Linked DNA regions of Kluyveromyces lactis. The protein of the gene in region 2 purifies or fractionates together with the protein of the main gene of each other region. This does not show direct contact. Links are inferred from orthologs where the notes say so. Each region holds a gene or a part of one and is shown on either strand. Other genes may lie near its edges.

Region 1 (4,348 bases), on a different chromosome or scaffold from region 2:
TATTAAAACAACCGAAAAGAACAATGTGGGACTCCAAAGTATGTTTCCAAACCAAACAACAAGAAGAGAAAGATGTTTCAAATTTCCAGCGGGCATATAAGAATTTCGATTTCACTTTGAAATAAGTGGCCGAAGAAGGTACCCAATAGAAGTATCGTTCACAATCGCCTTTTATTTGAAGATAGAATTCTATAAACTAACCAATATGTAGCAGTATTATTACCGAATATAATTATTTAATTAAATGCATTACTAGACAAGTTGAAATGTAAAATCTCCAAATTTTATCCCTGAAGACCGTCATTTTCGTCATCTTCATCAAGATCTATCTTTCGTTTACCAGAATTTCTCATGTTGGCGATCTTAGTGGTATTCACTTGCTTCTTCACTTTTCTAGTCATCTTTTCAATTTGCTGTTCAACATCTTCTGGATCCTGTTCAACAAACTCCATGACAAGTCTACGACCTAGCAAATGGACACCTTGTAATTGATCCATGGCATTCTCAGCTTCCTTTGGCAAGAGGAACTCAACAAAGGCAAAACCTCTAGCTGATTTGTCGAACTTCTTTGGAACTCTTACAGATTTCAATTGGCCAAAAGAACTGAACAATTCGAAAACATCCTTTCTTGTAGCTTCGAATGGTAAATTCTTAACAATAATTTTACCTTGGTTCTTCTTCTTTTTCTTAGATGATGCATTGGTGGTCGAAGTACCTTGTCTGTGCGATAGTTTTAGTTGTAATTTATGGCCATCAAGGATAGTACCTTCCATGGCACTTATGACGGCATTGGCTTGTTCTTTTGTCTTAAATTCAGCGAAACCAAAACCCATCGAGAGAGTCTTGCCTGGCTGCTTTGGATCTGGCTTGGTCTTCACTTGAGCAACAACAAACCCGTTAAACGGTTTGAACTTTTCAGTCAACTGTTGAGAAGTGGTAGAGAAATTCAAGTTCTTAATGAAAATGGATACAGTAGGTCCTGCTTGAACGTCATCATCATCATCATCATCATCGTGATCATCTTTATCAGCTGCTGGCAGAGATTGTGCTTCAAGAAGATCAGCTCCTGAAATTTTAGCTTCCTTGGCCGTAGCTTTCTGGATATCGGTTTCAGACTCAACTAGTTCATCACCTTGTGCATCTCTAGTGAAACAATCAGAAGGACCCTTTTCAAGATAGATGATCCCATCTTTGAATCTTTTGTATGAAATTTTACTGAATGCTGCTCTAGCTGCAGGAACATCTCTGAATTGAAGTATGGCAATTGTGCCACTTGGTGGTAGCAAAAGTCTTTGCAACTTACCAAAAGGCAAGAACAATTCTGCTATCTCTTCTCTGGTAGTACCGTATGGGAAATTCTTAACTAGTATCACTCTATCATCACGTTCACTATTCTTTAACTGAGCAAACTTAGTCAAATCAACACCTCTTGTTTCGAAAAACTTCCGCACATCACCAATTACAGAGGCTTCAGCCAACGCCTGTTTCACAGCAGAGGATGAGTTTTCAGCATCGATCAACTCGGATTTCTTCATTCCTAATTTGTCGGCAACACTGCTGAGCACAGCATCTTGGTTCATGTATAACGAATTCCATGAGAAAGTCTGTTGAGCACTGTTGGCCTTACGTTTAAGTTCCCTTTGCTTCTTCAAAGGCAAGTTCTTTAAATCAAATTCATCTAATTTATGACTCTTCTTAGCATCTGCTGGAAGGATATGCAATAATCTCCCTTGGAAGATCTGTTTATCGAGTTCAACGAACGCAGTGGCCGCATTGTCTGCGTTCTTGAACAAGACGTATGCGAAACCCTTTGATTGCCCTGTTCTGGTATCAACTGCTATGTGAACCTCTTCCAATTCACCGTACGGAGAGAAAAGTTTCCTGAAATCGTCTTCAGTTGCTGTGTATAAGATATTTCTCAAGAACAAACGGCCCGTTTCTCTGATCTTTTTCAATGATTTCTCTTCTTCTGACTCTTGACTGGTTTCAACTTCAGTTTCCTCAGGTTGCTGTTGTTCTGTATCGGGTTGTTGCTGCTGTTTCGATACTGGTGTATCCGCACCATCTTTAATTCTGACTCTACGGTTTTTCAACCAGTCCAAATCTGATACCGCTTCATCTTTGGCCATATCGTCCGTGGAAGTAGGACCAGCAGTATCAAACGTATCCAAGCTCATCATTTGTGGTTCAGGTTCATCAGTATTAGCATTATTCGAGCCACCATTGAGAGAAACATACTCATCATCACTTTCATTTCCAGGTAACTTGAACATGTCGGTATCCTCATCGGCATCGCGAGAATTACCCTTCAAAGCCAAGGCTTGCGAAAGCAACGGATTAGAGGACATTTCACCAACTTCATCATCAGCAGCTTCTTCATCCTCACCCTGAGTCTTGGATGACTGAACAGTCTCCCACGATGTTACCTGGCTGGAGGGTTTCATCGTGTTAATGAACTCTTGTAGTTGCTTGTTCTTGGCTATCTCAGCATCTATATCGTGCTTCTTCCCACCGTCATTATTGGAGTCTGATTTCTGCTTTTTCTGAGAGTCCTTCTTATCCGCAAGAAGCAACTCCTCACGTTCTCTGAGCCTCTTCAACGCTTCTCTTCTCTTCTCTCTCATGGGCTGAGGTACCCTAGGATCAGCAAAACTCTTAGCCATCGACACTTCGATCTTGGAGGTATCGACAAAAGTTCCATTGAAATAGTTCACACAATCAAAAGCGTCCTCCTCGTCACGAAACCCAATGAATGCAAATCGTCTGGATTCACCATCCCTGTTCTTCATCAACTTAACATCACTGAGGTAGGACTGGACATCGGTACTTTGATGTTTCTGAGTTAACCTCTTCTCAATCAAATCCCTTAGACGATCCTCTTTGAGATATATCGGCAAACCTTTCACAATAACACGAGACATATTTGGTTTCTGGGTTAAAGTCTGGCTGAACTTGGTATAGGTGGTTGATTTGGATGGCTACACCCACTGCAAACACAGTAATACTTGTCTTATAGAGGTGATGAGATGAGATGAGATGAGCTAAAATTTTCCAGATGCCTTAGAAAAAGAAATACGGTCACGTGATAAACAACTAGGGCCACACGTCCATCAAAAAGGCTTAAACAATCGCCAGGGCTGCTCAAACCCTTTCCACGCCATCACTCAACCCAAATTGTTCCTCCAGATCTTTTCATGCCCTTGTATTGACTTGCGTTCTGTATCTACATCGAACGTCAGAATTTAAATCCGACCTTATTTACCACTCATTGTCCAAAGCTCGAATGTTAAATCGTGATTTAAGGCAAGCAGACTACTTAATATCTACAATAACTAACCTAGCATCACCATTGACTGCATTTCAATCACTTTGTTCGAGCTTTATATTAACTGTCGGTCACTGACACTTATGACTAAATCGACTATCCTGCATAAAATGCGCTAAAAAGAGCTCTTTTGAAAAGAATATTCTCAGTTACACATTTGAAAAACAGACTCATAACACTAGAGTACCTTCCAACCACTATAACACTGGTAAATGTCCATTATTGACCGTGGTTCCCCCCCTTCCTTATCTCTATTTTCACCCCTTTGTACAGAGTTCTCAGTGCCAACTGACAAAAAATTTTCCAACATTGAAACCAAGAACTGAAATTAAGAATTTGATCAACTAATGACAACATGATCGGATGATGGCAGTTACGGATCTCCTAGTTGTTTGTTGCGTTACTATTTTGGTTACAACTTAATGTTGAGGTTGTTTCCAACGCGTACATTCAACTTATTACGAACTCAGTTGCTGCCCACGTCATCGTTGAGCATTACTATTCGAAAAATGTCTACTGAGCCAAAGCAAGACTTACCACAAGTCGATGAGAAGACTGGCGAGATCATCATCAATCCATTAAAGGAGGATGGTACTCAAAAGAGTCCGAAGGAGATTGAGAAGGAGAAGAAGAAGGCTGAGAAACTATTGAAATTTGCTGCCAAGCAAGCCAAGCAAGCACAGAACCAAGCCGGACAAGCCAAGAATGCAGCCAAGAAGGAAAAGAAGAAGAAGGAAACGGAGCCAATCCCTGAATTTGTGGATAAGACGGTCGCAGGTGAAAAGAAGATCTTGGTTTCCTTGGATGATCCAGCTTTGAAGGCTTACAATCCAGCCAATGTCGAATCCTCTTGGTACGAATGGTGGAACAAATCTGGATTCTTTGAACCAGAGTTCACTAAGGACGGTAAGATCAAGCCAGAAGGTGTGTTCACTATTCCAGCTCCACCACCAAACGTTACTGGTTCTTTACACATCGGTCATGCTTTGACTATCGCTATTCAAGATTCTTTGTGTAGATACT
Region 2 (4,034 bases):
TATGATCGCCGGTGAAGATTTCAGTATCTTCAACTCCAAGCGTAAGTTGGAGGATAGTACAAGCAGAAGAGGTAATAAGAAATCTAGAAATGCTTGGGAAAGAGCCAAGAAGAAGTTGTAAACCTGAGGTCCTTCTTTTTCTATGTATAAATAGGCTAAAATATCCATACGTCTCTATTGTCATCATATAGTGTCAAATACGTAGTTTATAAATCGAATGATAACGGTGTTGCACTGCTCAAACTCTAGCTTTGATGTGGTTTGTTTCGTTTCGTTTTGTCTCGTTTTCTTCATATCAAGGTGTAATCACCAATAATTAATTAATACAATCTAAGCGTTCCAACTTTGCAAGATATAATCACCACCTATCACCCCTACTAATCTCCTACCAGCGTACAACTTCCAGCGCCCCTGATGAAGAACGAATACACCAGAAAGAAAGTCTCAGCAAAGGATAGGAAAGCATGTCTGATATGTGGTAACCCTACAGTCACAGTTTTGTTCAATGGAAGCGGACCTGATTGGTTTTATACATGCGATATACATCTAGTTGATAACCCGCAGTTTGTACAGCCTCTATACCCAAAAGAGTATCACGAGTCTCTGGTTAGTCTTAAGCCACTCAAAGAACGCATAGAGGAGCTACAAAGGAAAGAGCGAGGTACCTGGGATCAATGGGTTAATAAGATCTTTGACTCTAAAAAGCCATCATCATCTGATGATAAGAAAGAGGACAGGGATGACGCGAGTTCTGACGACAAGAAGAAGACCGATGAAGCAAACTCACTTGAAGAATTGCAGCAAACGTACCAAGCGACACTTGATAAGCTAGCTGCATCAAGAGAGACGTGCAATAGATACACTCTACACGACCTAGTATTCCAATCAAGAGTCGACAGACTACGGAAACTGGCTCAATTAAAGGAAAAGAAACGTGTAGAGCAACAATCATACACCAACACCGACCCCAATCAACTATTACAATCGTTTTCGTTTCCTGAAGTCCCCAAGAACACCGTTAACAAGTCATGAGAGGACGGCCTAATATGCCTACCTCTTATGTCTTTTGTGCAATTCTATATCACGTGATTGATATCACGTCAAAAAGAAATTTCTGATCTTTTCAACTTTTCAATGAAAAGCTTTAAAGAAGCAGGACATAGTTAGATCCCATGCGATGAGCTTCAAACTAGAACAGAATACTTGCTGGTTTCAGGCGTTTCATCTCTGGTTTTTGCTATTTTAAATAATTTTGAACTTTAATTCGATACGTGCTCTAAAAAAAGGCTAGGAACTGTAATATCATGGCTAGAGTAAGAGGTAGAAAGCTAATAAAAAAGCTCAAGAAAGATGAGTTCCATCCAGAAGACAATAAAACCCATGATGAGCCTACGGTTAGCCATGTTAATGAAACTGCTGGGGGTGACAATAGTGATGTGAGTCCTAATACTTTCTTTGGTGTCCTAGATTCTGGCGAATTGGATTATTTTAAGAAGGCTGAATCCACGTTGGCTATTGATACATTTGAGAATCCAGATGAGAAGTACCAGTTTATCAACAGTGTCATCGAGGAAAGTAAGGGTAAAGAGTTGAAACTTGCTACGTCTCAGATTTCTTCTAAGCTAATGGAACGTATTATTATGGAAAGTGATGAAACTCAATTGAAGACTATCTTCAAAGCTTTCAATGGGTTTTATTTCAACCTTGCATGTCACAAATATTCCTCCCATGTTTTAGAGACTCTATTAGTCAGAGGTGCAGCACAGGTGGAAAAAGAATTGTTAACACCTGATTTTGATTCTGTTGATGAGGGTGAATTCGTTACTACTGAATCATTGTTTTTGTTTTTGACTAACGAGTTGCAACCGAACTTAAGGTTCATGGTGAGCCATCAATATGCATCACATGTCCTTAGAATTTTAATCTTAGTGCTATCGTCAAAGACTTTACCAAGTACTGTACAGAACAATTCAACATTACGTTCCAAGAAGTCTAAGATTGCACGTAAGATGATTGACATTAAGGATAACGATAACTATAACAAAATATTCAAGACTCCCGATTCATTCAAAGTTGTTCTTCGTTCTATGTTATCTTCAATCTACACTAGTTTCACACATGGTATTCCACAGGGCTCTGGACACTTTTCTGAGATTTCTCTCGCTGACGTTATGAAATTCAGGGAAATATGTGTTGATAAGATCGGGTCTCCAGTGATTCAATTGGTAATACAAGTAGAAGGTATCTTCGATAGAGACAGGTCATACTGGCATCTAATATTCAAAGATTCTGATGAGAAGGATCCCAAGGAAGAGTCATTTGTGGAGTACTTACTATCAGATGCTGTTGGATCTCATTTCTTGCAGAATGTTATTGCATCAACTAGAATCAAGTACGTGGAAAGATTATACAGATTATACATGAAGGATAGAATTCCAAAACTTGCTAAAAGAGATACAACTGCTGCATTTGTGTTGCAATCACTTTTGAAAGTCTTGAACTCTAAGGAAGTCAAAGAGATTATGGATGAACTGGTCCCAGACTTGAGCGTTTTGTTGAACTCTAACATGGATTTCGGTACTGAAATTATAGATGCCAGTATCCGTCATGATAATTATTTGAGGGACGAAATCATTGAACAATTAATGAAGAAATACTATCCTCGTGAGTCATCTGATAAGAACATCTTAGAATCTTGTCTTCAGTTAAGTTCCTCTACCCTTGGTAACACTAGAGATGACTGGCCAACTGCTGAAGAGAGGAGAAAATCTCTATTCTTAGAGAAGTTGATTGATTACGATGATTGCTTCCTAAACAGTACCATTGACAGTATGTTGAATCTTCCAGCAGAAAGACTTTTGCAGATGCCATACCATGGTGTGTTTTCTCACGTTGTTGAACATGTTCTACAGGTTAAAAGAGTTGCCATCATCAAAAGAAAACTCTTACTCAATGTGTTATGCAAAGATATCGTAAACTTATCCTGTAACGCATATGGTTCCCACATTGTTGATAAACTATGGACATTTACGGCTAAATTGGCTATGTACAAGGAACGTATAGCAACTGCGTTATGTGCAGACTCTGAAAAGGTCAAGAACAGTGTTTACGGTAGACAAGTGTGGAAGAATTGGTCGCTTGAACTATTTGTAAGAAAGAGATACGACTGGAAAAAAATAGTAAAAGAACAAGAGCTCGAAATGTTCCCAGATTCTAAACCTTTACAACCAAAGACCTTCAAGCGTCCTAATAATAACAACAATTCGGATGTTTCACCTTCTTTCAAGAAGAGCAAGTTCCAGAAAAAATAATCATGAAAGCATGTACTTCAACATATCAAAGTAATCAGTTGTAAATTATATATATATACATAGATATAAACAACCAAGTCACGTACACAGACGATAGTATGTATAGTTATAACTCTACTCCAGTCATTTGTTTTTTTATAACATTATCTTTTCTCAATAAAAGTTTACCAAGTGCCTTTGGTTCTTCTATTATTTAACCCTAAATATCTTGCTACAGTGTCAAAGATAACATCCATTTCTTCTTTAGTGTATTTTTTTAGTTGGTCAGCCGCAGTAGCATCTGTAAATGTAGGAATTGAAACATCCTCTTCATTACGCAAGCCCTCAGTGATTGCTTCAAGATCAGATTGTGGGAATGGCAATACGCCATAAAATTCAGCTACCTTACATAAATCCAAATCCTTGATATTGCTGAACTCTTGTACCGTTTCCGGTAAAGGAATTTTAAGATCGATTGGCAAATCGCCGTCAGCGTTAGGTAATGGACCGATCGCATCTGCTGGGTCTCTTTTATTATTGTTTGCTACTCTTCTTATTGATCTTTCCTCAAGATAATCAAGTTGTCCTTGTAATTCTTCCACCAATTGTTCCAAATCTCCGTTAGTAGCAAACTCAGATGTATCAATTGACAAGGAAGCTTCCGCAGCAGCAGGCTTGTTGGGCTTCTTTTCTAGATCTAAGCTTCTGATATCCGTCTTTTGTTGTGCTATTTGCAACTCAATG

The links.
Region 1: the proteins of NOP9 (region 2) and MRD1 purify together in Saccharomyces cerevisiae (affinity purification with mass spectrometry; 3 studies listed by BioGRID). This does not show direct contact. The link is inferred for Kluyveromyces lactis from reciprocal best matches to the Saccharomyces cerevisiae genes NOP9 and MRD1.

The regions. Positions count from the first base shown.
Region 1 is NC_006040.1:1,259,576-1,263,923, forward strand, and holds MRD1 (RNA-binding ribosome biosynthesis protein MRD1), read right to left. Parts: upstream 2,922-4,348; coding exon 285-2,921; downstream 1-284. Other genes in the region: DRN1 (Drn1p), read left to right, coding at 1-125; VAS1 (valine--tRNA ligase), read left to right, coding at 3,748-4,348. UniProt on the Saccharomyces cerevisiae protein: Involved in pre-rRNA processing. Required for maintaining steady-state levels of 40S ribosomal subunit. Required for the initial processing of pre-rRNA at the A0 to A2 sites, leading to the processing of the 23S pre-rRNA intermediate to the 18S rRNA.
Region 2 is NC_006041.1:1,207,914-1,211,947, forward strand, and holds NOP9 (RNA-binding RNA processing protein NOP9), read left to right. Parts: upstream 1-1,304; coding exon 1,305-3,311; downstream 3,312-4,034. Other genes in the region: small subunit rRNA maturation protein LCP5, read left to right, coding at 1-121; VFA1 (Vfa1p), read left to right, coding at 415-1,032; MRP8 (Mrp8p), read right to left, coding at 3,476-4,034. UniProt on the Saccharomyces cerevisiae protein: RNA-binding nucleolar protein required for pre-rRNA processing. Component of the 90S pre-ribosome involved in production of 18S rRNA and assembly of small ribosomal subunit. Component of the pre-40S ribosome required for release from the nucleolus.